Ovis aries: one gene and its partners. Each later gene encodes a partner of the first gene's protein in a complex. Links are inferred from orthologs where the notes say so. Each region holds a gene or a part of one and is shown on either strand. Other genes may lie near its edges.

The links.
Region 2: MED12 (region 1) and MED7 share a complex: the UniProt entries of both Homo sapiens proteins name them as parts of the mediator complex. The link is inferred for Ovis aries from reciprocal best matches to the Homo sapiens genes MED12 and MED7.
Region 3: MED12 (region 1) and MED23 share a complex: the UniProt entries of both Homo sapiens proteins name them as parts of the mediator complex. The link is inferred for Ovis aries from reciprocal best matches to the Homo sapiens genes MED12 and MED23.
Region 4: MED12 (region 1) and MED25 share a complex: the UniProt entries of both Homo sapiens proteins name them as parts of the mediator complex. The link is inferred for Ovis aries from reciprocal best matches to the Homo sapiens genes MED12 and MED25.
Region 5: the proteins of MED12 (region 1) and CDK8 are in contact, whole or in part, in a cryo-EM structure (PDB 8TQ2), measured with the Homo sapiens proteins. The link is inferred for Ovis aries from reciprocal best matches to the Homo sapiens genes MED12 and CDK8. Residues at the interface, in NP_005111.2 of Homo sapiens: Pro26, Gln27, Gln31, Glu33, Asp34, Leu36, Asn40, Val41, Lys42, Gln43, Gly44, Phe45, Asn47; in NP_001251.1 of Homo sapiens: His143, Ala144, Trp146, Phe180, Asn181, Ser182, Pro183, Pro186, Ala208, Arg209, His210, Thr212, Lys213, Met273, Pro274, Pro320.
Region 6: MED12 (region 1) and MED26 share a complex: the UniProt entries of both Homo sapiens proteins name them as parts of the mediator complex. The link is inferred for Ovis aries from reciprocal best matches to the Homo sapiens genes MED12 and MED26.
Region 7: MED12 (region 1) and MED31 share a complex: the UniProt entries of both Homo sapiens proteins name them as parts of the mediator complex. The link is inferred for Ovis aries from reciprocal best matches to the Homo sapiens genes MED12 and MED31.

Annotation. Positions count from the first base shown.
Region 1 is NC_056080.1:63,837,244-63,841,204, reverse strand, and holds part of MED12 (mediator of RNA polymerase II transcription subunit 12), read right to left. Parts: intron 3,475-3,961; coding exon 3,394-3,474; intron 3,263-3,393; coding exon 3,092-3,262; intron 2,890-3,091; coding exon 2,745-2,889; intron 2,579-2,744; coding exon 2,528-2,578; intron 2,205-2,527; coding exon 2,086-2,204; intron 1,893-2,085; coding exon 1,749-1,892; intron 1,316-1,748; coding exon 1,152-1,315; intron 949-1,151; coding exon 817-948; intron 400-816; coding exon 172-399; intron 1-171. UniProt on the Homo sapiens protein: Component of the Mediator complex, a coactivator involved in the regulated transcription of nearly all RNA polymerase II-dependent genes.
Region 2 is NC_056058.1:66,386,980-66,390,560, reverse strand, and holds the end of MED7 (mediator of RNA polymerase II transcription subunit 7), read left to right. Parts: coding exon 1-302; 3' UTR 303-2,753; downstream 2,754-3,581. UniProt on the Homo sapiens protein: Component of the Mediator complex, a coactivator involved in the regulated transcription of nearly all RNA polymerase II-dependent genes.
Region 3 is NC_056061.1:57,044,374-57,048,334, reverse strand, and holds part of MED23 (mediator of RNA polymerase II transcription subunit 23), read left to right. Parts: intron 1-76; coding exon 77-201; intron 202-1,836; exon of another isoform or gene 1,837-2,035; intron 2,036-2,267; coding exon 2,268-2,379; intron 2,380-3,800; coding exon 3,801-3,899; intron 3,900-3,961. UniProt on the Homo sapiens protein: Required for transcriptional activation subsequent to the assembly of the pre-initiation complex. Component of the Mediator complex, a coactivator involved in the regulated transcription of nearly all RNA polymerase II-dependent genes.
Region 4 is NC_056067.1:55,910,116-55,914,601, forward strand, and holds the start of MED25 (mediator of RNA polymerase II transcription subunit 25), read left to right. Parts: upstream 1-1,579; 5' UTR 1,580-1,674; coding exon 1,675-1,808; intron 1,809-1,901; coding exon 1,902-1,947; intron 1,948-2,417; coding exon 2,418-2,542; intron 2,543-4,486. UniProt on the Homo sapiens protein: Component of the Mediator complex, a coactivator involved in the regulated transcription of nearly all RNA polymerase II-dependent genes.
Region 5 is NC_056063.1:33,436,770-33,441,405, forward strand, and holds the start of CDK8 (cyclin-dependent kinase 8), read right to left. Parts: upstream 3,001-4,636; 5' UTR 2,475-3,000; coding exon 2,347-2,474; intron 1-2,346.
Region 6 is NC_056058.1:6,224,853-6,228,813, forward strand, and holds part of MED26 (mediator of RNA polymerase II transcription subunit 26), read left to right. Parts: intron 1-2,105; coding exon 2,106-2,180; intron 2,181-2,856; coding exon 2,857-3,961. UniProt on the Homo sapiens protein: Component of the Mediator complex, a coactivator involved in the regulated transcription of nearly all RNA polymerase II-dependent genes.
Region 7 is NC_056064.1:25,114,876-25,119,309, forward strand, and holds the start of MED31 (mediator of RNA polymerase II transcription subunit 31), read left to right. Parts: upstream 1-1,459; 5' UTR 1,460-1,526; coding exon 1,527-1,554; intron 1,555-2,405; coding exon 2,406-2,483; intron 2,484-2,955; coding exon 2,956-3,052; intron 3,053-4,434. Other genes in the region: C11H17orf100 (uncharacterized protein C17orf100 homolog), read right to left, coding at 698-1,075. UniProt on the Homo sapiens protein: Component of the Mediator complex, a coactivator involved in the regulated transcription of nearly all RNA polymerase II-dependent genes.

The DNA of each region.
Region 1 (3,961 bases):
AAAAGTACAAATGCCCTCAGCAAAAAAACCTGTTCTGGCAAAACCTCAGACTCATTAACTTTTCATCTCCACCCCGGCTATAACCAAGGTTGTGGTACCTCCCGGGCAAGTCATCCCTCCCAACATCAGGCGGGAGCGTGGTGCCCATGCCTCACTCAGTACGCCCCATACCTATCCGAATCATGGTGCCCCACACAGACGTGCATAAGGGCATTGCAGACAAAGCTGTAGCGGTTAGCAGGGTTCTCACTAAGACTCTTGCCTAGCCCCGTGTAGGTGAAGGTGTGAGCAGCGGGGTTCTCTAAAGTGTCGTTCATGAACTCAGGTGCCCAGCGCATGTTGGACTCTGATGGCTCCACATTGCAGTAGATGGTGTTCTTCACCTTGGAGCAGAAGTCACTGCAGGAGGGGAGAGGGGAGAGCAGTACTGAGGACGTGCTAGTGAGCCAGAGGGATGGTCAGGAAAGAGGAGAAAAGAACAAAGAGGAGAAAATGAGGGACCAAGGGCCTTAAGGCAAGAAGAGGGGAAATGGGACAAAGCCGACCAACTGGGCGGGAAAGAAACCCAGTGAGGGTAAGGCACAGGGGCCCCAGGAGGCAGGGAGGAGGAGCGTGGGCCCTGCAGGCGTGGGCCAGAAGCAAGGCTGATGAGGAAGGAGGCCCACTCTGGGGACCAAGAACACTTAGAGGACACTGTCCCCAAATGACCCTGCAGACACAGCAGGGTGGTAAGCTGTGCTCTGCTCCTAAGTTGGGCAGTAGCAAGGAGATGGGATGAGGTCCCACTCTCTACCCCTTACCTTCCACCTCTCTTACCTGAAGAGTTCCCCAAATTTGCTCTTTAAATGGCTACAGGAGGTGTACAGATCATAGAGATATGCAAGGATACAGCGTTCTGCAGAGGAACCATCGGACCGGTTCATCCCATGCTTAACTACGCCACACAGCCTGTTGAGAAGGGACAAGGTCGCGCCTGGAGCAATGGCGGGTCTGGGCGCCAAGATTCCTGTCCCTCTGCAATGTTCTCTCCCCTCCCTACCAGGAAGGCATGCAATTCTGCATTGCAAGAGCCCTATGTGTTCTCTGCAGGTCATTTCCAACGGCCTTCACCAGGGCCCCATGGGTTTTGGTTATTCTGAAGCTCCACTTACCCCTCAAAGACCTGTGCCATCTGGTCCTGGTTGAGGATGAGGCAGGCGTGATAGTGGCGCAGGACAGCCACGATGCACAGGCACAGGCTCGTGGTGTAGCTGCCCACCAGATCTGAGGATTTGAGAAGCAGTTCGGCCTCGACTACACTCAGTTCATTCAGCAGCTAGCAGAGTGAGTGGGGGTTGAGAAACAAGAAGAAGCCTCGAATGTTATACATCATTCCCCTTCCTGTGAGAAAACTGGAGCCCTTTCCTGCTAGAGATGCCTCAGCCTGGAAGGGCCCCAGTGGCATATGCCACTGTCCTTTATTCTATTAACAACAAGCCACATCAGTGATCTACCCAGTGTCCAGGATACAATCCTATGAAGTCCACAGTGGAAGGACAGTCTGTGCCCAGTGCTCTAATCCATCTCTCGGGCCTCCCCAGGGAGCACTTGAGTCTCTATTCCTGCTGGCTTAGCTCACAGGCCACTCTCCCGACACTAGCCTTTTGGTCCCTCCAAATAACATGGGACACTGGCTTGAGCCTCTGCTCTTGTCCTTGTGACCCTGTACTGCACAAACGCCCTCTCCCTCATCTCCCCAACTCCCCCACCTGAATAGCAAAGTCGATGAGGCCACTGATGCTGAGTGAATATTCCATGAGGTCGAAGATAAACTGCACATGCTGCACCAGAGGCAAGTGGTACGACATGCCAAGGGCAAAGCTCGTGATCTGCTCCAGAACATTCCGGGAGACCTGATAAGGGCAGCGGGAGTGAGAGATGGGAGTGGAGAGAGGTGAGAAGAACCAGGGTAGCAGGAAAGGATGATGGGGAAAAGGGGTGAGAACAGGAGGCTTAGCCTGCCTGGGAGAGAAAAAAGATAAGGAGAGAAGGAAAACAGGACAGGGAGGCCAGAATGTGGGAAGGGGGCTGGACTTAGGCCCACACCTGAGCCGTGACCTGGTGTTGGTCATAATGCGAAAGATGCTGGAACTTAGCAAAGATATCCTCGGCAGTGGGAAAAGCTTCAGGTCGGTTTCGTCGCCGCTTCTGTCCATCCTCCCCACCTGAGGGGACAGTTGAAAGGGACCAGTCAGGACAGGGAAGATAACCAGGCAACTGGGGGTGGGGGGGATATGGAGAGAAGGCTATGGTGGGGAGGGAAAGGGGAAGGAAGGGAGGGAGGGAGGAAGGGAAGGAAGGAAGAGGGAAGATGGGAAGGGAGGGTCAAGGAAGGGCTGGGGGAGGGATGAAGGGAAGGGAACAGTGAAGCAAAGGTTTGGAGGACCACATACTATGTGGACCTTAGAGGAGTATGTACAGGGAAGTGCTAGGTTGAGGGAGGGAAGGGAGAGGGAGGGCGGGTAGTATGGGGCTTACTGTGAGGTACCTAAGAATGTCAGGTCTCCAGGATTCAGAGGCACAATAGGAGCAAGCTGGTCTGCAGAGGGGGGGAATGAGGGGGGAAGTTTCAAAAGGACTAGAGCTCTCAGGAGACTCCAAGAGACAGGACATTGGGACATGATTGGGAGTTCCCTATGCTGGGGAAGGGAAGACTGACTAAGGCGCTCTTTGGGGGAGATCCATTTCAGGTGCCTCAAACCCACCAGTTTCTGCTGTCCCCTTGCGGTTCAGAACCTTCAGGATATCCTTGGTAATTTTCTTGATGGCATGGCGGGCATCATCTCGCTGCTTTCCCACCCCAAACAGTACGACCAACCGCTGGTTGCACTCATGGCTGCATGACTCCTCCTGCATCCCAGCGGCACCATCAGACTCCAGCAGGCATCACTCTCCCTCCTCTCAAAAGCATGCTCCATGCCCCTCAGCACCCCAGCACTCCAACCCTTCCCAGCATACCACACCCTCAAGAACAGCTCCAACCCCTCGGCAAAGTCCTTGGACAGAAACCTGGGCTCAGAACAGAGGGTCGGAAGGTGTTGGTGAACGGTACCTGGGGGATGGGAAAGTGTGTGGCATACTGCACATGCCGCGGCTGGTCATAAAGAACCCCAAGGGTTCCTTCTAGCTTCTCCTTGGGTGGGGGCTTCACCTCCTTCTCAACATCTGGTTTCTCAGGGGATGGACTGCCCTTCCCCTCACAGGGCATAGTGGGGGAGAACAACTAAGAGAAAGGCGAAAGGGCAGAATGTTTAGAGGAAGACAAAGGGATTGAGGGGGGTGCATAAGGAAACTCCCCAAAGTGGCATAACAGAAGGACCTCAGGAGCTGGATGCTTCCACACCAGTAACTTACTGAGAAATCAGGCTTCTCCATGTCCTCAAAGAGCACACTGGAGCTAGGGTCAATGTCCATAGACTCTGAGAGTCCTGGATCCTGAGTGTAGAGAACAGAAGCGAAGCTGCTTTAGCCCTGAGGAGCTGCTCCCCACCATCTCGAAAAGTTGATTGGAGTCGAAGAGAGGAGCCCATACTGGGAAAAGCACTGGTTCCAGATCCAAGCCTTGACTGGTCCCTTAACCTCTGCAGGCCTTGGTTTCTCTCAGCTTTAAAATGAGGATAAGGATACCTCACGGCGGGCGGGGTCAGGGGGCGGCGGGGAATTCCCTGGTGGTCCAGTGGCAAAGACTTGGCACATTTACTGCCGTGGTCCTTGGTTGGGCAACTAAGATCCCGCAAGCTGTGTGACACAGTTCCCCGCCCCGCCCCCCGCCGGCCCCAAAAAAGAAAAACAATACCTCACAGGTCTGTTGTGAGAATCGAATGAAAAAAAAAAAAAAAAGAACTTGAGAGTGCTTGCTAAACTGCAAAGCACTAAGCAAATCCTACCCTCCTTACTTCGTAAAGGATTCTCAGAGGACTCC
Region 2 (3,581 bases), on another chromosome or scaffold:
CCTTGAGAGTCATGATGGAGGTGCAGAAACGTCAACGTCTTGAGACAGCTGAGAGGTTTCAAAAGCATCTGGAACGAGTCATTGAGATGATTCAGAATTGCTTGGCTTCTCTGCCTGATGATTTGCCTCATTCGGAAGCAGGGATCAGAGTAAAAACTGAACCAATGGACGCTGATGACAGCAACAATTGTATTGGACAGAATGAACAACAAAGAGAAAATTCAGGTCATAGGAGAGATCAGATTATAGAGAAAGATGCTGCCTTGTGTGTCCTGATTGATGAAATGAATGAAAGGCCATGAAGGATGTTTCTTTTCCTTTCCCGTTCAGTGAATGGTAAACACATTAGTTAATTCACTTTTAGAGAGTTTCAAAAGAGAGATAACTAGAAAGAAGTCTTGCAAGCAGCTTGATTCTCCAACTTTCTCAATTGTGAGAAGTCATAGCAGTAATTTCACCTTATGGCAAGCATAGGTAAATGAGTGTGCCTACATTAATTAAGAGTGATCCCCTTAAAAAGCAGAGTGCAGGTGTTTGTGGCATATCCTTGTTTCCAGAGTTGCAGTGAATTTTGAAGATATCTTCAGTGATAGCAGGTTTCAACCCTGGGAAGTAGATTTGTCATTTGCTTTAAGAGTGATAGATAATAAAAGATATCAGACTTTATAAATGAAATTATGAAATCTTTGTTTCACTTAAAAACTTGCTTAATCTCTAAAAAAGAATAGTGTAACATGTTTAAAGAGAGGAACCCCAGAGTTGTAAAAGTTTCATTTTTTCTCTTGGCTGTTCTTGCAAACACTGTCTCAGCCTCTTACCCCTATCCTGGATGGGTCCTGGAACTTTTATCCAGTCACTAAGAAGTCCTTTGATCACTTTTAGTTACAGACATTCATTTTAATCATTAAAATGTCTATGTAAATTATCTGTACTACATTTCCTAGATTCAGACTTGCTTAAGGGTGGAAGCCTGCCATGGAAAGGGGGTTTGGTGGCAGAGATTACTGGATGTCCACCAGAGATTCTTGCTCCCCTGAGACATGCTGCCTTGCCAGAAACTGCGGTTCTCCATTCCCTGTGCATCTCTGTGAGTCCATGTGACTGAATTCTTAGCAGTGGAATATGATGTAAAAATCCAGGCCTGCCCCATAAAAGTTTTTTATATCACCCACCATTCTCTTCTCATCTGGTTTGATGATCACACCCAGGAAAACTTTGGAAGCCACTTGAAGATGGCAAAAGTTTGGTCATTTTGGGTCCTTGAATGCCTGAAGACCAGGACCTCCTTTCATTTTAACTCCATCCTCCCCACCGTCCCACCCCTTTCCTTACCCCTGCTGATTTAACTTCACCATGTGAATAAGAAGTCAACTTACTGTTGTTATTTTGTTGTTACTGTTGTTTTGAGCACTGAGATTTCATTTCTGCACTTCTCTTTTCTCCAACCCCTCTTCCACTGAAATCTTGATGGAGAGTCTGCCTTGTATATGAGGGTTTCTCCCAGCCTTTCTCTTAATAAAGCATATTTAGAAATATGCTTTGAGTGATTCTCAAAGCATAGTGCTAGACTGGCAGCATTGACATCACTTGGGGACTGGTTATGCAAATTCTCAGGTCCACCCCAGGCATGTTAAAGTGAATTCTAGAAGTGGGGCTCAACAAACTGTGTTAAAGAGCTCTCAGGTGATTCCCATGCAGGCTCAAGCTTAAGAATCCCTGATAATGATAAGGCTTTTGCCCAAATAAACAGGCGAAGTCCGGTTTAAAGTGGCCATGGGTCAATTCTGTGTGTGAAACACTCATTTATCCTTTTCTTTAAAATTCTGGGGCATTTAGGCTGTTCCCAAGTAGATAGCCTGTTCTGCATACTCTCTTGGACTGGGCCTAAGCCATGCCAGATGAGGGACAGATGTTCTTGGCAAGTGGGGCCAATCTGCTGTTTCTGTCCGTGGGCCCCTTGCCTGTCAAAAAATATTTGGCTTCCCTAGTGGCTCAGTTGCTAAAGAATCTGCCTGCAGTGCTGAGTTTGATCCTTGGGTCAGGAGAATCCCCTGGAGAAGGAAATGGCAACCCGCTCCGGTACTCTTGCTAGGAGAATTCCATGGACAGAGGAGCCGGGCAGGTTACAGTCCATGGGATTACAAAGAGTCAGACACAACTGTGTAACTTTCAAGTAGATAACCTCTCTGTTAGGCAGATAGTTGGCAAGTCTCATTTGTTTTTTCCTCATATGTGTTTGGTATTGATTTTTTGGCTCCATAGACTCCAGGAGACACAGTCTGGGCTCTGTTAAGTTTAAATTGAAGGGGGAAGGAAACCCCTTCATCTCCCTATGGCAGAATAAGGTATAACACTTTGGCAACTCTCCAAAGGAATCTCCTTTGAACACAACCCTCTTATAACACTGAAGTACAAAACCAATTTTGCAAATCCTTGCATGGAAAAAACTGAATCACATTATCACTATCACATCCTTAAGAGAGTCACAGCATTATTTGTATATAATGTTTGTTGGAGAGAAAGAGTAAGAGATTAAAATTTCATGTGAAATCTTAAATTCTGACTTTGAAGGGATATGATCTTGCAGATCTGTCAGGGTGGAACTTGACATAAACTAATGAATTCTGATGTGAACTCCTGCTGTTACAATGGAAAAAACACTGGTGAAAAAACACCAGTGGTCTGATAGTTGTTACAGATTTCAAAGTGTATGTAAAAACTCTAAGTATTAAAATACATCTTTGCACACCTGATCGTAATGAATATTCCTTATAAATTGATACCTTGAAGTGGAATATCTGAAGGTATAACCAGGGCAACTCTTGAGATTACCAGTGCTGGGACCCAGACTACAAGGATTCTGGTTTCATTGCTCTGGAGTGGGGCCCTGAGATTGGGTTTAAGAAGTTTGTAGGTGACTGCTGTGCCATAGGATAAAGGATTGCATTACTCAGTACTCTATACTTGTACTAGTTTAAGCAAAAGATGAATTTGTTGAAAGGATTATGAAATCCTTTTAAATTTATGAGATGAAGGATTTATGAAATCCCTAACAGGATTATTGAAATCACGTGTTACATGATTGAGGGGTAAGTTAAACATCCAAACCATGAAGAGGACTTGGAGGTTCTTTAGGGCAAGTGGGACTCAAACCTGACCCAGAACGCTTTGTCCCTCCTTTCTGATTTTTCTGTTAATTTCATTCTATACAAACCAGCTTCTTTGATGGTATGAGTGGAGAACATGTGTGCTAACAGTTCCTGGGTGTTAAGTCTTTCTGTACTACTGTCTGGGAGTTGTCTCCAAAAAAAAGGTAATTGACCAGCTGGAAGGGAGAAGTTAGGGGTGGCATTCCTGACTTCAGCTGGGCCATTCAGCTGGCGGGGGACGGGCGGGGGGGGGGGGGGGATGGCGTCAGATTCTGTAAGAATATGACAGATCCAAACATGTTAATGTATGGAAGGAGGTCGTCCACCCCTCTGTTTAAGTCCATTTATTTGCTCTAGTCATTTAGTGGATATTGTGGTCCTCTTTATTCCTGACACTGGTTTAGTTCCTGGGGGTATGAAGAGTGGGAATGA
Region 3 (3,961 bases), on another chromosome or scaffold:
CCAGATGCTATTAGCTATTTGTTACTTATAAAATATAAGTTTAGACCTAAAATGTGATCATTTTCCAATTTTCCAGGAATCTCATGAACAGTGCATCCAGTGGATTGTTAAATTCATTCATGGCCAGCATAGTCCTAAAAGAATTTCTTTTCTTTATGACTGCTTAGCAATGGCAGTCGAGACTGGTCTCCTTCCACCCAGGTATGGTTAATGATGAATATGAACAATCTGAAATATTTTCTTTTTTTTTAATTAACGTTTAGAAATTGGTTGAGGTGATTGTTGTAAAAGGATAAGAGAATAAAGAAGGCAGTTACAGTCAACAAAAAGTGCTTCGTAGTATCTCAGTTTTAATTTCGAGGATGCAGTATTCTTAAAATTGTATACTTCAGGTGCTCAAAACCAGGCAGGCTTTGCCTTTTAGCCCAGGGATTAAAATCACTCACTTTGACAAGCTTTTCTAGGTAGTGTTTGTTGTATTTGTTATAGTCACTTGTTTGTTGAATTTTTTAGATTCCACATATAAGTGATGTCATATAGTATTTGTTGTTCTCTGTCTGACTTATTTTACTTAGCATAATACTCTAATAGTCTGTCCATGTTATTGCAAATGGCAAAATTTCATTCTTTTTTTATGGATGAGTAGTACACTGTGCGGAGAAGGCAATGGCACCCCACTCCAGTACTCTTGCCTGGAAAATCCCATGGATGGAGGAGCCTGGTAGGCTGCAGTCCATGGGGTCGCTAAGAGTCGAACACGACTGAGCGACTTCACTTTGACTTTTCACTTCCATGCATTGGAGAAGGAAATGTCAACCCACTCCAGTGTTCTTGCCTGGAGGATCCCAGGGACGGGGGAGCCTGGTGGGCTGCCGTCTATGGGGTAGCACAGAGTCAGACACGGCTGAAGTGACTTAGCAGTAGCAGCAGTAGCAGTATACTGTGTGTGTGTGTGAGATTGAGAGGGACATCTTTATCCATTCATCTGTTGAGGGACACTTAGGTTGCTTTCTTATCTTGGCAATTATAAATAATGCTGCTATGACCATTGGGATGTGTGTATCTTTTCAGATTAGTGTTTTTGTATTTTTTAGTTATATACCCAGGAGTGAAATTCCTGGGTCAGTTCCAGTTAACTTTTGCTGCATGATGAATTGCCTCAATACTTCATGGCTTAAAACAGTAATAATCCTTTTATTATTAACATTCACAATTACAGTGCTTGCTTGGACAAGGAGTAGGAAGGATTTTCTCAGGTTTTGTGTTTGCAATCGGATGGTGGCTATGACTGGAGTCATGACAAAGATTTCCCCATTCATATGCCTAACTGTCACCTGAGAGACATCAGCTGGCACTATTGGCCAGAACCTGCATATGCCTTCTCTGTGTGACCTTGACTTTCTCACAGTGTAGTGGAGTCTAGGAGCAACCATTCATAAGAGGGCTAGGCAGAAGCTGTATCACTTTGCCTTGAAAGCCTTTCCATTTGCCAGTCTTGGACCTGCCCAAACTGAGGGATAGATTTTTGTTTCTACCCTTTTGACATTGATACTCTTCCTGGGAGGAGCATCAATATCACATTTTAGAAGAGCACGTGGGGTCGAAAGTCTTATTGCAGCCATCTTGGAAAAACACAGTTTGCCACTAATTGGTTAATGATACACATTTAACCAATAGCTTTTGGTACATTTCTTTCTAGCAAAAATATAACATAATTAATATTAGTTCTACTTTGGAGAAGGCAATGGCACCCGATTCCAGTACTCTTGCCTGGAAAATCTCATGGACGGAGGAGCCTGGTAGGCTGCAGTCCATGGGGTTGCGAAGAGTCAGACACGACTGAGCGACTTCCCTTTCACTTTCATGCATTGGAGAAGGAAATGGCAACCCACTCCAGTGTTCTTGCCTGGAGAATCCCAGGGACGGGGAAGCCTGGTGGGCTGCCGTCTATGGGGTCGCACAGAGTCGGGCACGACTGAAGCGTCTTAGCAGCAGCAGCAGTTCTACTTTAGGACTTCCCTGGTGGCTCAAGACGGTAAGGAGTCTGCTTTGGGTTTAGTCCTACTCTGGGTTAAGTCTTTCATATAAATAAAAAATATAAAATGCTTTATGTAATTTTTTGAAAGTGTGCTTGAGTAATGTACCTTTATGACAATTATTAGCACTTACTGTGACAAATATAATATCCAGAGTTTGTGGACCTTGGCTATTAGAGAACTTACAAAACTCCTGTCTTGTAACTGGAATGGGTATTCCTTTTTTTCTAGGATGGTTTGTGAATCCCTGATAAACTCTGACACACTTGAATGGGAAAGAACACAGCTTTGGGCCTTAACATTTAAACTGGTTCGGAAAATAATTGGAGGGGTGGATTACAAGGTATTGTTTTTTCTGATTATAAAAAGTAATCGCTGTCAGATACTAATTTTTCAGGGTCTATTAATTTCACAGAAGAGAAATGAAGTGGAAGCATTTATAAAATCTGTCTCTTTTTTGTTGTATTTCCTGAAAGAGTTTAAAATTGCCCAGTGTTTCCCACAGCTCTCTGCTCCTCTCCCAACAGTCTTAAAAGTGCAGGTGGCTGGTAAACTTCTGTGACAAATAGGGAGTCACCAGGCAGACTCGGTTCTCTCATGCCACAGATCTTATGATCGTGGGGCCCCTGTCCAGTGGAAAGGCAAAGAGCAGGGAGGTGTGGAACTGAGAAGGGATGCAGGCATCAGCTGACAAAGGGAGCAAGTCCTGCTTCACCTTGGCCACCTTGGGCACTGTCATTCCTTAACTGGTATCTTCAGCACTCTGCTCTTGACCAAAACCAATAGCACACACACTCTAATTGTGTCTCATAACACAGCTCAGGAGCTCCACAGCTGCAGAAGCTTCTGCTTCATTCAAGCCACTTTGGTTATTGTCTCTTGAAAGACTTGTGGATACCTGACCCTGTGCATTATATCTGTATTTTCACTGATCTCAAATGGTTTAACTGATAATTATTGGCCAGAGTCATGATATCGTACAAAATTAGTTCTAAGAAGCCTTTTCTGATTATTTTCTATTTACTTGTACTTCGCTTTCCTTAGCAGGTTAATATGTAGTTTTGTACAAATAAGCACCTTATTTGTATGGTGCTTCATAATTGTTTCTTTCATGTATATGTTCTGTCTTTTACAAGACTGATCACATAGTTTATACTATGGAATGAAATGTCTTCCCTGTGTATTAGATTCTGCTTTGAAATCATGCAACTGGTAATAGATCTGAATAGATGACCAGTTAGCAGAATAGCCTTATTGGCTAAGTTTGAGGGGTTAAAATATGTGATGGATGATGAGAAAGAGGGAATGAAGTTAGAATATATACCAAAAGGAAGGTGCAGAAAAGGTTGTCTGCCAAAAAGTTGAATATTTATTGTCCATGTTTTTCAGAGTATTTTCAAGTTCTTCCAAATATATTTTTGTCTGTTAAGCTCAAACTAAACTTTTTGGTCCCTCATAATAATAGAAACTTTTCTAATGTTATAAAGCTGAACGGAATGTGGAAAGTTTAATTTTTATCTATAAGTGATTTCCTTTGTTCATTCATATGGCAAGCCATTCTTTAGATAGAATTCTGCTTTGGAACATGACACTTCTCTTGGGTTAATGTTAGGGGTTTGAATGTTAGCTTTGGTTCAGAAAAATTAAAAGTGTGACTTTGAGGGTTACATATTTTTCTAAGTATATAATCTTGAAAGCTTTAGCCATTTTAACCAGCACCCAGGACTTTAAAAAAATTTAATCTATGACTTTTTGTTGTATCAGGGTGTTCGAGATCTGTTAAAAGTGATTTTGGAGAAAATCTTGACAATTCCCAATACAGTGAGCTCAGCTGTTGTACAGCAGCTTCTGGCAGCAAGAGAGGTAATTTAAACTTGCCTGCAATTCATTGATCATCTCCTAAAGATGTCTAGTTTTATAGTTCC
Region 4 (4,486 bases), on another chromosome or scaffold:
AGGGCATTTTAGGTACCATTTCAAGCTCCATACCTGTTGATCATTTTGCCTTTCTCCAGTTTACTTTTATCTTCCTTATGATTTTATTAAAATTTAATTACACTAGCATACAAAAGAAGGGATCTGCTTTAGATTTAAAGGAATTTTAAGATGTCTAAACACAGGTTCAGTCATTGTTGGATCTTGATGCAAATAAAACAATTGTAAAAAGACATTTTGTGAGAACTGGGAAAATTTGATTATGGATTTAAGTGTTCGACAATACCAAGAAGTAAGAATTTTGTTAGAGATGTTAATGGCATAGTGGTTACCTGCAACTTTGGGGAGATGCCTATCCAGCAGGTAGAGGTAAAATGATACGATGTTGGGATTTGCTTTACAAGCGTTCAGCAAAGAAAATAAAAGGATCAATAAAGTACATGAGACAAAACAGTGATACTGCTGAGTGCAAAGCAATGCACCCTTTTACCTTGAAATATATTGACAAACTGCATTGGAGCAAGCTGTTTTGGTTTTCATCTCCACTAGATCACGTCTGAGCCTGCTCATTTCACCCAAACCTTCCCACCGTCATGGACTTATTTTTCCAGCATTAATTAACATGACAAAGATAAACTGACTTATCATTGGACCCTGTGTTAGCACTTACTAACTTGTGCATATGAGCGACTTTCAGTATGTTTTTGCGTACAGGAAAAACCTGCTTAGTTTCCTCCCCAATTAAAAAAAAAAAGTATTTCTGTTTTCCTAAGTTTGTATTGATCAGTAATACGTATTTGGGTAGTAAATTTCTGTCAACACATGTTACAGTGACTTCCGCAGTTTACCGTATCGTTTTCAGCTTGGTTTATGAAGTCTTCTGCGGACAAACAGCTCAATATTTTCCGTGCTCTGGCTTTGCTGTAATGATAAGAAACTCTTCCCCAGTCTTCAGGATTATACAGTGTTATGGTTTCATTTGTTATATTTACATTTTTAATCCACCTGGAATGTATTCATGTTCTAGGCCAGTTTCTGGCTCTTCTCCCAGAAAACAACTATCAGGTGTTGCTTAGCAACCTCCACTCGGGTTAGAGTTCGGCTTCTTTTAGTGGGGAAAAAACAGCTGCACTCCTTTCAGAGTTGATTGCCACCTTAAAGCGTTGCCTAGTAACCCCGTTTTAGACGTTGTGATTGGACCCTTCACACGACCCACCCACCCCCATCCCCCAAGAACCAGTAAGAACTTAACTAGAAACCTAATCTGTCTTTTTAGGAAAACAAGGGCAGCGTATGCGTTGCATAGCAACCAGGTCTCCCGGCCCTTCCATTGAAACCGGTGTCGGAAAGGTCGCCCCCCCCTCAAAAATGGCGTCTGACGCGCCGCTTTCAGTATATTTCGCCCTCGAAAGTTCTGCAAATAATTCAAGCTTCCACCTCTGGTCCCCGAAGGAGTTCTCTAGGTCCTTTTTGAGTCTTGCACACACTGGGAGCGAAGGAGGATGGAGATAAACCCACCCGCCCCGGGCGCCCCGCACAAACATGGCCGCCAGCGCGCCGCCAGCGCCGAGAGGCCGTCCCGCGCGGGGGCGCGCGCGGCGCAGGCGCACTTCCGCTCAGCCCGCGGTGTCTGAGGCGGCGGCGGCAGCGGCGGTGGCGGCGGTGGCGGCGACGGCGGCATCTGCGGCGCGGGGCATGGTCCCCGGGTCGGAGGGCCCGGCCCGCGCCGGGGGCCTCGTGGCTGACGTGGTGTTTGTAATTGAGGGCACGGCCAATCTGGGGCCCTACTTCGAGGGGCTCCGCAAGCACTACCTGCTCCCGGCCATAGAGTGAGTGCCGTTTCCGCGGCCCCAACCCCGCCCTCCGAGTTTAGTTTTCCACACTCTCTCCTCACCCCGACCTTTCACTTCCGACCCTCACAGGTATTTTAATGGCGGCCCTCCTGCCGAGACGGACTTCGGCGGAGACGTGAGTCTTGGAACTCTCGAGTTTGAGGGAAGATGGGAGTCCGGACTGGGTCTGCGGGAGGAGGGGGCGGTACCTGAACCCTGGGCCCGAGGTGGGAGGGCTCGGGTCCGGACTCCGGGGTCGGAGGCGGGAGGGGCTGGGGTTTGGACACCTGGGTCCGAGGGGCTGGGGTCGGGATTTGCGGGTCCGAGCGGGGAGGAGCTGGGGTCTGGACTCTGGTTTCCAGGAGAATGGGGCTCGGGTTCTGGGGCTGAGGGAGGAGGGACTGGGGTCCGGACTAATGGGTCCGAGAGGGGAGGAGGCTCAGGTCTTGGGTCCGAGGCGGGAAGGGCTCGGGTCCTGGGTCTGAGGTGGGAGTACCGGGGTCCGGACCCCCGGGTCCGAGGGAGGAGGGGCTGGGAGCTCCGATTCCCCTGAGGGAAAAAGGAGCTGGGTCCCAGATGAAAAGTTCTCCTGTCCTCCCCTCCCAGTATGGGGGCACCCAGTACAGCCTCGTGGTGTTCAACACGGTGGACTGCGCTCCAGAGTCCTACGTACAATGTCACGCTCCCACCAGCAGCGCCTATGAGTTTGTCACCTGGCTCGATGGCATTAAGTGAGCTCTTTTCTCGGCTTCCGGAAGGGTTGGGGGAACCTGGGAGGGACGGCAGAGGAATGGTGCTGCCGGATCCAGCCCCTCACATTGGTTGCTAAAAAGGGCTGCGATGGGGGTTGTGGTTTTGTCCCTAGGTCACTTCAGTGGTCGGTTCTGTATGCTCAGCTGGTGTTGCTGTCTGGCTTGGAAGTAGAAAGAATTTCCTGGTCAAGGAGGCCTGGGGAAGTCCAGCACCCGTCCTACTCCTCATATATTATTCTCCTTTCTGTCTGTTGCTTCTCTTGTCTACTCTAGCCCTTCTTTTTCCTACTAGGGGCACTGAAGCTTGAGCGCAAGAGGGGTGGGGCTAAGCCTCTGTGCTTTGGAGTCAATGTTGATAGTTCACACTGCAGGTGCAGACAGCCTGGGGCCACTTTTCAGCTCTACCACAACAGGACTGCCAGACCCACGAGTCCCTGTCCTCTGTGTCTAATAGAACTCATCTCTAAAAGGGGAACGGTAATAGTACTTATAGTCATCCTGTTACTTATCCAGTGTTGGGAAAACAGATTAAAGCTTAGTGACTTGGAAATTCTCTGATGGTCCAGCAGTTGGGACTCTGTGCTTCCACTGCAAGGGACATGGGTCTGATCCTTGGTGGGGAAACTAAGATCCCACATGCTGAGGGGCACAGCCAAAAAAAAAAAAAAAAATTAATTTAGTGGCTTGTTTCCTTAAGTAAGGAATTCAGGGGTGGCTTTGATGGATGGTTCTCACTCACGGTCTCTTGTGGGATTTCAGTCAGATGAGCTGGGACCGCAGTCATCCAACTGTTGGATCGGGACCAGAGGATCCATTTCCAAGGTGGCTAACCCTGTGGCTGTTGGCCAGAGGCCAACTTGCTAGCTGTTCCTTGCTAGCTGTTATTCCTAAGATATCTCTCCATGGGGCTGCTTGAGTGTCCTCCCAACATGGCAGTTGGCCTTCCTCAGCCTGAGCAATCCAACAGAAAGAGCAGAAGGAGACTACAAAGATTTTTATAATCAAATCTTAGAAGTCACACCATCATTTGTGTCACATTCTGTTTAGTATACAAGTCAGTTCTGTTCAGTGTTGGAGGGGGCATGAATACCAGGAGATGGTGCTCAGTGGAGATCTAGTTCCGGTGACACTATAGGGGACTTTGGGAATCAAACGAGTTGATGACTGTTGAGAACAGTGCCTGACACGATTAAGCGCTCCCTCAGCTTTTGCTGTTCTTTTGTGTTTTGGTTTCTTGGTCTGCAGAGGGATAACGGTAGTCCATATCAGCACTCAGAGAAGGGTCACAGAAGCTAATCTTCATACTGTGTTCAGCTCAGGGTCTGGTCAGAGTCCATTAAACAACCGGATTCGTGGGCTGCTGTTATCTGCAGCAAATGTTTGTTGAACACTTGGTTTGTTTCAGGCTTCACGTGCTAGACCAGGCACTGCACATTCACTTTCCCCCCTTATGGTTGTTAGAATTCATGGTCAGGGCAGAGCAGGGTTTCTCAACCTCAGCACTGTTGACCCTTTGGGCCAGATGATTATTGTATGTGTGTTGTGGAGGGGTGGGGGGCATTCCTGTGTGTTGTAAGGAGTTCAGTAGCATCCTTGGCTCCTTCCCCCCCAATGCCAGTGGTCTCCTCCCTCCCCAGTGTGATAAACAATAAAAACAAAGATGTCTCCAGACATTGTCAGATGTCCCTTTGGGGACAGAATCCGCCCCAGTCGAGAACCTCTGGAACAGATTGTGGTGAGACTTGAATAATGTGGAATGGGGGCTCCTTGAGGTTCAAGTCCAAGTCTGATGTCCCTCAAGTTTCTAGCACCCAGCACAGGGCCTGGCATGAAAGAGCCCCAAGGAAAACTTTGTGGAACAAGCGAATGAACGAATGTCCAGAACGCCCTTCATGCTCTGGTTCTCCCTGGTAAACGCCTACA
Region 5 (4,636 bases), on another chromosome or scaffold:
CAAACTCCGGGAGATAGCGAAGGACAGAAAAACCTGGCATGCTGCAGTCCATGGCATCTAAAAGTCGGACACAACTGAGTGACTGAAATGAACTGACATCAAAACAAAATTTGTTTCATTTTATTTAAATCTGAGTACTCTCTTTGAAGGTGTTACTGTCTAGGATCCTAGAGTTCTCTGAAATCTTGGCTGCAGAATATATAACTTCATTTGAAAATAAATCAATACTAGAACCAAATTATCTGATCATCTTTTTATACAAGATTAAATAGCCACAAATTTTATTTTACCTGGACTTAAATGCATTAAATTACATTTCATTGACATAAGATCAAAAAAGCTTCATAAATATAATACTGCATTTTACCAGAGTGAGGTGATAAGAAGCCAAACTGAAAAATATTCCCTCTGGAACACAGAAACTGTTGAAAGCAAGTTTAAAACTCTCTTGACATTTGATCCATTTTTTAAAAAAACACTTCTATGAACAAAATCATTAATGACTACTGAAAAACAAGTCCAAGGAATTATAAACAAGTTAATGTTCCCAAATGCAAGGCTACCTGGCTATCATGAATGACAAAGATATGTTCATATACCATACATCCATCTATTTTTAAATTGTACAGATTAAATTTAAATCTCCTAAAATTTTTCTTAGCCTTAATGAAAACTTGACCACGAGATATAAAATGTGGTCAAAAGTACCTCCTGCCAATAAACAATATTACAGTTTTTAATAAAAATGTTAAGTCAAAGTTAATAAAATTTAGATGTTTTATTAAAATAGTAATTTATGAAAACAGAACTGTTTTTTTCAGAGAGATCAAAAACAATTTAGGGTCACCAGAATTTTATAGAACAGATGACAGACTGGTCAAATGCCCTACAATGTCTAACCTCATTTTTTAACTATGTATTTTATTACAGAGTAATACTTCAATGAGAAACGTAATTAAACAAGAGTCAGCAGTATCTCCAGACACTGATTTCTCAAATGTCACCCAACTATCCATCCCACTTAAAAGTACTTGTGAATACATGCAGCACACACAGGATCAAGTTCTCAACTCCCTATCTTTGCAGATACCAGTACTGCGTTACTGCTGCATATAAGCACTGAAACATATTTCAAATTAGTTAGAATTACTATCTTCTTCCTTAGAGTCCATTTTAAGTTATTTTAGAAAGACACCTCAGCAAATCTAAGAAAAATATTGAATATATAGCTCCTTCCCTTTCCAATATTGAGGATACTGAAGTATTTATAAATATGGCTTCCCCCCAACCCAGGTAACTTCAGCTTTATGAATGGTTTCATTTTTTTAAGCACTAATACAGTTCTGAACATATCCTCCCATCTAAATTGTTGAAAAAAGCAATTATTTTAAACGTTAAACAGCAGCTTAACCAAACTAAGAGTGACATTCAAGTAAACCTACTTGTTTATAATAAAATCTAAAGATTATATAAGCTTTGACGTCCTTTCCAGCGTTTTCCTATAGTGTCAAAGGTGAGAAAGACAACATCCGTTTTTACAAGAGGAAAACTAGGAGTTAATAGATTATATTTCTCATCTAAGAAATGTCTTCTCTTTTGTCAACATTACAAGACATTCATCTAGTGACAAAGGAAAAATGAACAGTTCACTTGCCGGTTTAGGAAACTAAATTGGGAGCATTACCAGTCATAGACTTAATTAAGTTATTTCTAGGTAAGAACATTTAAAGCAAATAGACTATTTAAAGTTCCTTGTCAACTGCTAAAGTGGGGGGGAGGGGGGGTCTGAATAAGACACCCCTATTTTTCATTCGCCTTTCTCCCCACCACCTACCCTGCACCAAACCCCCATTGTTCTAGGTAAAACTCGCAGCTAATGATAGCGAAACAGCAACTGCTACGTTTCTGCCGCAGGTGATCGATCACCAGGAGGAACTCTTCACAACCACCCTGACTTGCTGCTTTCTTCCCCACAAATAAAACCCAAATGGGGTCTTAAATCCATCACCAACCTGTGCGGGGGAAAGGATCCCAGCTTCCCTTCCGGGCTGATGGATGTCGGTCCGGAGGCGGGTGAAGGGTCCCCTAATAAATCGACCCCTCCCTCCAAGATCATTTAAGCTGACGTTTTATAAGGAACATTTAAAGAAATCTGGCACCGAAGCCCTTGAAAAGTACAGAGCCCGTGGATCAGACGCTCCTCCTGCTGACAAGCGGCGCCCGGAGACCACAGGAGCGGCTCGCGGGGTGGGGGTAGGGGTCTCGCGCGGGCTTGGCCCCCCTCGGGCACCACGTCCTCCCGGAGCCCGGCCCGCGGGGGCTGCCCACCTGCCTGCCGACACTCACCCATCCTTCCGCTTGGCTTTGTAGACGTGACCGTAAGTGCCTCGGCCAACTTTGCAGCCCTCGTATTCAAACAGGTCCTCGACCCGCTCCCGCTCGCTGCTCAGCTTCACTTTAAAGTCATAGTCCATTGTCACGGCCGGCGGGGCCGGGGAGCTGGGGTCGCGGCGCCGCGGCGCGGGGGCGGGGGCCCTCCGGGAGGCTCCGGCAGCCGCGGCCCCCGGGAAGCCGCCCGCTCTACGCCCGGCGGCCGCAGCGCCGGCTCGGCCGCGGCGGCAGGAGCAAGAGGAGGCCCCGCGAGGGCGCCGGGGACATCCAGCGGGGCGGCGGGGCGGGGGCCGGCCGGGGTGGGCTGGGGGGACACACGCCGAGGAACCCGGGGGCGCAGGAGGGCGAGGGACGAGGGCTGGGGGTGGGGAGCGCGGTCGCTGCCCTTGTCCCCGCGGGCTCCGGGGCTCTGGCTCCTGCGCTCCGGCCGCGCGCTCGGCCCCCGCGGCGGGCGGCGGCGGCGGCGGCGCAGCGGGCTCTCCCTCGGGCGCTCGCGCCTAGCCGCGGTAACACACGCTCACGCTCGCTCCCTCACTCGCTCTCTCCCTCGCTCGCTCTCCCGTCCACTCAGACAGAAAGGCAGCGCCGCACAACAGCCGGCACCTCCTCAGAGAGCGGAGGGCGGGGACTCGCAGAACGCGGCCGCGCTGTCGCAAAAACGTCGCGAAGACCCTGGCCACTCGGCTTTCCCCGCCGCCCGCGCCGCGCGCCGCTCCAACCGAGCCTCGCTCCCCCGGGGGGCGCGTGAACCCAGCGCCGTAGGCGCTGCCCAGAGCAGCCGCCAACAGCACCACGTGGGCCGTCCCGGTGGCAGCCGGGGCTCCAGACTACAGCACCCAGAATGCACCGGCCGCCTCGGTGGCCGCCCCGCCTTCGGCTCCGCCCCCCGCGAGGTGGGGAGGTGGGAGCGATGCACGATGGGATTCGTAGTCCAGAAAGAGGGGAGTCCTTTCGATGACCACTTGGGAAATTTTTTTTATTTTAACAGCGTTGTCGCTAAAGTCAGATTTGGGCCAGAAACTTAACTAGAGAAATTTAAGCGTGAGGGAGTCTATTCTGTGTTAGAATCACATTTTGTGCCACTTCCGAACTCCAGAGTTTGAAGGGCACTATCGTTATCGAAAAACATAAATCTAATTATTGATCAACGGCTCACAGAGTATCACTCGGGGAATCTTGTAGGTCACGGTCTAATAAGGGCTGCACAGTGACAGCAACGTGCTAACACGCATTACAAATATCAGTAAAAGGGAGTCAGTTGGGAGTGGCCACGCTGCCTCTGGAGAGTGGCACCCTTGTGACAGAGGACTATCCTTTCAGAGGAGATGTTACTTTGAGTACGGCCTTTTGCACCACTGCTCCTAAGAATTGCCATTTTTAGCCATGATTACAGCAATGGGTCTAAATCCATAAAAACTGTTCATAATGTTAAGGGAGGAAAGGTGTCTGCTGGAGGAGTCTTGGTATCTTTATCGTTTTTTAAAAAAACATTTGGCTGCACCAGGTCTTAGTTGTGGCACTCAGGATCTTTAGTTGCAACATATGGGGTCTAATTCCCTGACCAGGGATGGAACCTGCGACCCCTGCATTGGGAGTGTGGAGTCTTAGCCACTGGACCAACAAGGAAGTCCCAGTGCTGATACATTGATAATAATACCTCATTTTGTTTTATCCCCCTTATTTAGATGACTATTTTTCATTATTTTATTTTATATTAATTTTATGTTTATATTTATTTTACTTTTCCCAACTGCTACCATTTTCATGAAAGTTCCCCACGTTGTCTCTCCACTTTTAACATCCTACCAATTTTTTCACCTTTCCCATGGTATTCATCAAATCGTGTTCTTTTATTTCCTCTTCCTTGCTAGATTATTAATTCCTATAGGAAGTCATATTTGCATCTTCCCTGATGCCTAGTATCATGGCTTGATTTTGGTGTGCAGCAATGGCACCCCACTCCAGTAATCTTGTCTGGAAAATCCCATGGACAGAGGAGCCTGATAGGCTTCAGTCCATGGGGTTGCTAAGAGTTGGACACGACTGAGCAACTTCACTTTCGCTTTTCACTTTCATGCGTTGGAGAAGGAAATGGCAACCCACTCCAGTGTTCTTGCCTGGAGAATCCCAGGGACGGGGGAGCCTGGTGGGCTGCCGTCTGTGGGGTCGCACAGAGTCGGACATGACTGAAGTGATTTTGCAGCAAACGTGTTGAGTTAATAAGTAAGGACGTTTGTGTCAAAAA
Region 6 (3,961 bases), on another chromosome or scaffold:
CCCTGCCCCAGCCGTCCTGTACTGGGTTTTTTTTTTTTACAGGCCTGGAGCCTGGCTAGAAGCCTCCCCTTGGCTATACTGAGCCTTGGTGTCTCTGCTGTGCATTGGGCCCTCTCGTTGAGAGTGGAGGCAAGGGCCGCAGGCTGCTGGGCTATTACTGTCTGCTGGATCTGAGGCTGGAGGCCCAACCTTGCACTGCATAGAGCCCAGGACGCCTGCCTGTTGGCTGTGCTGAGGGCAGAACTTGGCCTGCTTCCTAGTCCTTAGGGCCTGATTGCCTCCAGATGCCCAGATAATGCTCCCTACATAGCGCTCAGTGCCCTTGCTAGCATGGCTGGAGCAGGGGAGCCAGAGGGATGAGCCCTCGGGTGGTCCTGAGCTTGAGGAAGGCAGCAGACAGTGCTGTCCACAGCGCTGAGAGCCTGAGCACCGCCTCAAAGCCGAAAGCCCCTTTGGATGCCCGCCTGAGTGTAGAGGCTGCTCGGCTATGACAGTGGGGTGGCAGGCCTTTCCCCAGCCCCACCCTGAGCAGCTTCCAGGAGGGTCTCTGGCTGTGTGAGGGTCTACAGTGCCAGCTTGCTCCAGCCCCCAGCATTGCTCAGGTGTTCTGCCTGCCCCTCCTCTGGCAGCAGGACAGCGTCTGCCCAAGGACAAGGACACTCTGTGCCACTGGGCTCGCTCTGTGGACACTGCTGGTTCAGGAGTGTGTAGGGACCCAGGGCTCTAAATACACCAGGGTGAGGTCACTGAGGTGGAGAGAGGCCATGTGGCAAGCCCAGGACCGTGCGGGCCAGAATCCCAGGGCTGGGGACAGGGAGCGGGTGGCCTTGTTCCCGTGGGACCAGCCTCCTCACTGCCCGGTTTGTCAGGATATTTTCTTAGACATCACTGCTTTGGGGCTCCAGAAAAATCTGTCTACCCCAGGGTTGCAAAGATATTTTCCTGTTTATTCTAGAAACCTTAGAGTTTTTGCTTTCACATTTAGATCTGGGGTCCATTTTAATTTTTGAGTATGCTGTGATGCTTAGTGTAATTGGAATCAACCCAGTGTGTATCTCCTGTGACTTTTCATCCACTGTGGTTTGAAGTTCATCTGTTGATGTACTGAAGCTGCAGTGTGCTCATTTCTAGAGCTCTTGAATTTCTTAGTCTGTTCAACTTTTGGACGACAGTGGTGTCGTTACAACATGTGACCACATGACCCACTCCTTTACATCACATTCATAAAATGTGATGGTAATAATAGTTCACACCTTCTGCTTGAGGTTGTGATAATTCAGTGGAGTAGTGCTGTATGGAAACAGACCTTGGTAGAACAGGGCCTGGTTCATAGCACGTGTCATCGAGGTATAGAATTGCTTGGTCACGAGACACACAAGTGTTTGATTTGACCAGACACAGCCCAGTGCTCCCCAGAGTTGGCCGTACCCCAGAACTACCTGGTGTTGTCAGATACCGTTTCCAGCAGTCTGGCGTGTGTTCGTTGCAGCCGCTTGTGGGTTCGGTGTGCCTCGCCTGATGGCCAGGAGAGTTGAGCGCTGCTGCACCATTTCCTGTCGTGCCCAGTCCCTGTTCGTGTCTCCCGGCCCGCGTTCTCTGTGGGCCCAAACACAGACCCGGCGGGCCCTGTGGCATTGGTCTCCTCCCACTTTGTGACTTCTGCTCTCCTTGGGATGTCTTTCAGTGAACTCTATAAAGATCTTGTTAAGGCAGCTAAATTGATTAGATGATTATGCACAGCTGTTTTAAATGTGGTGCGTTTTATTCAGTGAGTCCTTCAGCCTCCCATCAGATGGCAGACTCGAGTGCATTTCCCGCATCAAGAGTGAATCTTGTTTCATAAATGTGAATTTCAGTTGTGCGGCAGCCGCTTGGGCAGATGGGTGTGTCCGTGGACAGACTCAGTCACCTGTTCACCGGGCACTGGAGGAGGCCGACGGGAGGGTGCGCACTAGGTGCGTGCTGGCCCCTGGGAGCAGGTAGGAGGCTGCAGGAGGGGGTCTCCGGTGATGCTGGCTCTACCGGCGCTTGGGAAAGGGGGAATTATGGAGCAGGCCAGCACCGGGAGAAGTGCCTGAGGTCTGACAGCGGCTCTTGTTTTACAGATCCGGAACATGGTGGCGGTGCAGGAAGTCATCTCCAGCCTGGAGAAATACCCCATCACCAAAGAGGCACTGGAGGTGAGCATTCCAGGTCTGAGCACTAGGGCGGCAGTGATGCGGGGCCCGGGCTGCCCCAGCCCTGGGCTTTCTTGACTTCTTGGAGCCCCAGAGACTTTGCTCACTGGCCCAGCAAGGCCTTAAAGGGAGGAGTGAGGGGGGCATGCCCTTCTGGCCTGCACTGTGCCAGTCCACAGCACATGGGCACTGCAGGAAATACGAGAGGCTTTAGTTCAGAGTTGAGGCCCCTTTCTCTGCAGGAGGCCCTGCACACTCTGCAGTGCGCAGCAGAGGCTCCAGTGAGTGAGGCTGGCTCAAGGTCCCGTGTGCTGTTGCCTTTGCCACAGTGTACTCTCACCTAGAAATCTCCCCTGGCCAAGTGTCCTTGAGGTGGCCGTGAATGGTCCGCGGCCTTCAGGAGTTGGGAGCCTGTGAGATGATGCTTCTGAGAATGCTCTGTCTGTCCCATGGACTGTAAGATCTGAGGACTTGGGTTTGAGAATTTAAATGTCACGAGGGGCCCAAAATCTTCATAGGTTTTGTGTCTGGGAGACCAGTGGTTTAGGGGGCCTGTGGGGTCATTTCAAAGACACGAGCCCTTCCCCCAGCTCCATGGGAAGCTCCATTTCTGCCTCTGCTCTCTCTTCATGGGGTGTCCCTGTCCTAAAAGCGTGTCATTGTGTCTCTCTGGCTGTAGGAAACCCGCCTTGGGAAGCTCATCAACGACGTCCGCAAGAAGACCAAGAACGAGGAGCTTGCCAAACGGGCCAAGAAGCTGCTGCGGAGCTGGCAGAAGCTCATCGAGCCCGTGCACCAGAATGAGGCTGCGCTGCGGGGGCTGGCGGGTGCCACCGGCTCAGCCAACGGCGGTGCCCACAACTGCCGGCCAGAGGCAGGGGCGGCCGGCCCGCCCAAGAGCGTCCATGACCTGAAGTACCGCAATGACATGCCAAGGCTGTGCGGGCAGCGGCTGGACAGGTTGGGCAGCCGCAAGCGCCGGGGAGACCAGCGTGACCTTGGTCACCCTGGGCCACCTCCCAAGGTCTCCAAGGCAAGCCACGACTCCCTGGTACCCAACTCGTCCCCCCTCCCCACCAATGGGATCAGCGGGAGCCCTGAGAGCTTCCCCAGCCCCCTGGACAGCAGTGGGCACGTGGGCCCTGAGGGCAACCGCCTGGAGCACGGCGAGAATGACAAGCACAGCGGCAAGATCCCCGTCAATGCCGTGAGGCCGCACACCAGCTCCCCGGGCCTGGGCAAGCCCCCCGGGCCCTGCTTGCAGACGAAGGCTGTGGTGCTGCAGCAGTTGGACAGGGTGGACGAGACTCCAGGGCCCCCCCACCCCAAGGGGCCACCTCGCTGCTCTCTCGGTTCCCGGAACTCACGGCACGAGGGCTCCTTTGCCCGGCAGCGGAGCCCGTACACGTACAAGGGCTCCCTGCCCAGCCCATCACCTCGGCCCCAGTCGCTGGATGCCACGCAGGTGCCGTCACCGCTTCCGTTGGCCCAGCCGTCCACACCCCCTGTGCGGCGACTCGAGCTGCTGCCCAGCGCAGAGAGCCCCGTGCGCTGGCTGGAGCAGCCGGAGGGCCACCAGCGGCTTGCAGGGTCGGGCTGCAAGGCGGGGCTGCCACCGGCCGAGCCGCTCCTGTCCCGGGCAGGCTTCTCCCCAGACTCCTCCAAAGCGGACAGCGATGCTGCCTCCTCTGGTGGGTCAGACAGCAAAAAGAAGAAGAGGTACCGGCCTCGTGACTACACGGTTAACTTGGACGGGCAGGTGGCTGAGGCTGGTGTCAAGCCTG
Region 7 (4,434 bases), on another chromosome or scaffold:
CTATTAAAACCTGTGTGTATGGCTACCAGGCACAAAGACTTGGCATAAAGAGAAATATATTGAAACATAAACACAAGCCAAGTAATTAATTAAGGAAAGTCTGTTGCTTGCAACTCAGGTTTGCAGCTGGCATATAATTCCACTGATTATGATTTGTTTGCTCCTTGTCCCTAAGTTTGAAGCAGCCAAGGTCATTCAGTGAGTGAGTGATAGTCGCTGAGTTGTGTCGAGGTCTCTGTGACCCCATGGATTGTAGCCTGCCAGGCTCCTCTGTCCATGGAATTCTCCAGGCAAGAATACTGGAGTGGGTAGCCATTTCCTTCTCCAGGTTTGAAGCAGCCAAGGTTATTTAAAGGGCCCCCAATTCAAAACTCACCTGCCTTGGAGGCTCAAACAGTCTCTTTTCCATCAGCTTAACACATACAGTATCTAGAGCCTAAAAACTTTTTATGCTGGCTTCAAATTAAAATAGTTCACTGGGTCAAAGGCTTGCCTTTGGTCCAAGGTGCAGGAGGGTCAATGAATGTTGGCTAAATCCCGAAACCGCAGCTTGGCTCTTTCTTAAATTGATCTGTGGACTGTTTCCAGGAAACCAAAGATGATCGGTCCACCTGGCAGCAGGCAGGCTGCGAACTGGAGGCGATTCTGCCCTGGCCAAGGGCCATGGCCCCCTCGTGGCCCCGAGGAAGGCAGCATTTCATCGGGCCTTTTGGATGTTATGGCGGGCGGCTGGCTTCTCCCGCCGCGGCGTGCTCTCCACGCGGTGCACAGACGTCTCCACCCGCAGGGACGAGGCCCTGACGTGGCGGGAAGCCGTCTCTGTGAGCTGCGAGGCGGTTTCCACGTGCTGGGAGGACACCTCGAGGACTCGAGGGAGCCGCTTCCCAGAGGAGGAGACGGAGGGTCCCTCGCTGCTGCGCTGGGTGGTCTCCACCTGCCGGGAAGATGTCCTCACGTGACGGTAGGATGTCTCCACGCGGTGGGACGAGGTCTCCACGCTGACCGTCGCCGTCTCCTCGGAGCGGATGGATTCCGCCCGGGCCGGAGAGGGCTTTCCCCGAAGGGGTGAGGCCATCTTATGGGGGTAACAGGGCCAAGCTGACCTTTGGAGGCCCCACAGCCCCACAATCCCCGAAGGATTATTTTATACGGTGAGGAGCGACGTCACATGCCATTGTGATGCAGGCAGAGCGGTGGTCGAGGGTCCCGCGAACCACGTGGAGGCACCGTGATCTTGGGGCGGGGAGGCCTAAGATTCCTTGGGAACGCTGGGTTCGTCCCCTCGAGAGCGCCGTCTGCCCCCGCATCGCCCCTTAGCCTGTCAAGAACCTGTCCGGGTGGAGGCGGGGTTGGGGCGGGGCGGGCCCTGGATGGGCGGAGCCACCCGCCCCCTTGCGAAGCTGTGCCCACCCCCGCATCCCACACTGCCCCGCGGCAGGAAGGGGACGCTGCGACTTCCGGACCTTCCCTGTTTCTCCGATCCTGGCTGTGTGGGGTTGCTGGGGACTTAAGAGTGTCTGCTGGTGATGGCCGCGGCCGTCGCTATGGAGACAGGTGAGTAGCGCTCTGAGCCTCGCGTTTTGTCAAATAGAAACTGTCCCGGGTCCAGACACCTGCTTCCCGGGATTTTTTGAGAATCCAGGCCCAACTCCCGGCAGAGTGAGTGATCGGAGCGGGAGGCACCAGGGTTTTTTTTTAGCGACTGGAAGGGCGAAGGTAATTTGGCCTTTTCAGAGTTTGTTTTGTTGGCCGATCCTTTCTCCCCGTTAGTTATTCAAACAGTGGCCCCACCGGCTTCCAGAAGACTAAAGGAGAGATTTTGGATCATAAACCGCTTCCTCGAGTTGTTTTTTTGCATCTCAGATGAGCTTGCCTAAGTTTAAAATATCGTCAGCGAACTCTTGTATTACTGTGCCACTAACGGGTCTCACGTAAGCACGCGTTTCTTGATACTCACCAGGGTCTCTTTCATCTTGCATTCTGAACGTCTCTTGATGGATTTAGCATTTTGTTTTTGCTAAGCTTGATCACTTAACAGCTTGTAACGCACTATCAAAATAAGGCAAGGCACATTGCTGCAGCTTATCCTAGTGATCACTGTGAAGTCCCAACATGGTGGCTCACGAGTGATTAATGTTCTGCTCCATGTATAATCTTGTTTTCTTTGATAATTTAACTTTAGATAAACCTTTTTTTTTTTTTTTTTTTCTTAATCAGGGCTTTGCTTTCCTTAGACTTATAAGGAAGGTGTTTCTCCTCCTACACCCAGTTTAGGAAAACCTTTGCATGCTCTTCTTTATGTAACTCAGCATTAGTCAGATGTCTGTACTGCTGTTTTCTGTCTAAAAATCAGTATTATATACAGTGACATTTATTTTGGATGATTTTGCTATCTTCTCTCCTAGATGATGCTGGAAATCGACTGCGGTTTCAGTTGGAGTTGGAATTTGTACAGTGTTTAGCCAACCCAAATTACCTTAACTGTAAGTTGTTGAGCACCTCATTGAAGTGAATAGCTAGTTACGATTTCTGATAGAAGAGTCAAAATTCATAGTACTGTCAGCCCTTTGTATCCTTGGAGGCAACCTCAGTTGGTGGAATCTGCCCATCCTGAGGGTGACAATACTGTCATGGCACTATGTTGTTTTGTACAGGAGATTGGAGCACCTGTGGATTCTCGTGTCTGCGGGGCCTCTTAGAACCAACTCCCTGTGGATTCTGAGAGATGACTTTAGTATCTAGTTTTGTACATTCTTAACTGAATGGAATGACTGTTGCACTTATACTGGTATATATAATTGAGCAAACTGGGACTTCTGTTTTGAATTCAGTGTGTGTTGGTGGTGGGAATGTTATGTAAGTAAATTCTTTACGATTATGTTAGTCACAGATCAGTAGTCCAAGGACTGGTGTGCTCTACAGATGTATTTTTTTTTTTTTTTTTATGCCTTTCAGTTCTTGCCCAAAGAGGTTACTTCAAAGATAAAGCTTTTGTTAATTATCTTAAGTACTTGCTTTACTGGAAAGAACCAGAATATGCCAAGTATCTAAAGTAAGTTTAATTTTTATAGTCCTAAACATGTGTGTACTTTTATTATATTCCAAAGCACTGATATTTAATAGACTTCTTACTTTCACGTTGGAAAAAATACCTGTTGAATCTCTGCTCTCCTTTCAGTTGCCTCCATTTTAATACGAGACACATCATCTCTAACTTAACTGGGATTACTGCAGTATCTACTCATTGGTATTCCTCCTTTCTCCCTGCCCTGCCAAACAAAGAAGAAACATTTTCTGCACAGAAGCCAACTTGGTCTCTTAAAAATAGAAATTACATTCCATTAGAACCCTTTGGTCGCTTCCCATTGCATGCAGAAGAAAATCTCGTCTCTTAGCCCTGTGTGATCTGTCCCTGTCTTCTCTGACCTTATCTTGTACCACTCCCTGCATCTCACTGAGTTTCTGACCTCAAGGAACCCGCAGTCCATATATGCAATGACAGCCATAGCCTGAAAATGAAAAAACATAGAAAGAGGTACTTACTTGTAAGCAAGGGTTTCTGGAGAAGGTAACCGTACCCGAGTCTTAATAGCTGCTTTCTTATTTTATATATCTTACATAATAAATACATGAATTTATCATTCAGGTTGTGCAATAGATACTCTCGTTTTAAGGCTTACTGAAATGCAAGGAGCATATTGTAATCACAAACATTTCTTTTTAATGATAAAAAATAAGCCTTGAACACCCACCTCTGCTTTGTCTTAAATAGGTAGTCAAAAAGCAGTGGTGAAATGTCTAGCCTTTTTTTTCCCCTAAACAGACACAAGTTTGAGAGGAGAATGTTTAAGACTTGTACTTTGGCCAAGCCACTTTTCTCTGTCTAATAACAGCTGCTTTATGAAGTCCACATCCTCCTTTTGCCTGTGGGACCCTTTCCACCCTTACTGGCCCTTTATAAAAGAACCACTTATTCATTTAATAATCCAGAGAAAATATATATATTTTTTTACTAGATTGCAACATGTTATATGTATGTATTATAGACTTAGAGACTCAGTGTTGGACACTGAGCCCTGGACACCGTCAGGTTCAATTTTACCCACAACATTGCTGAGATGGTCATCTGTATACTGGCTGGAGGTTTCTAGTGAACACATACTAATTCAGGGGCAGCCAATTCCGTTGTTAGCTAGATTCCAGAAAGTTCCTCCTTGTATTATTGTGTCCGACTCTTTGCAACCCCATAGATTGTAGCCTACCGGGCTCCTCTGTCCATGGGATTTTCCAGGCAATAGTACTGGAGTCGATTGCCATTTCCTTCTCCAGGGGATATTCCCAACCCAGGGCTTAAACCCAGGTCTCCCACATTGTAGACAGATGCTTTACCGTCTGAGCCACCAGGGAAGTCCTATAACATGATATACCTCTATG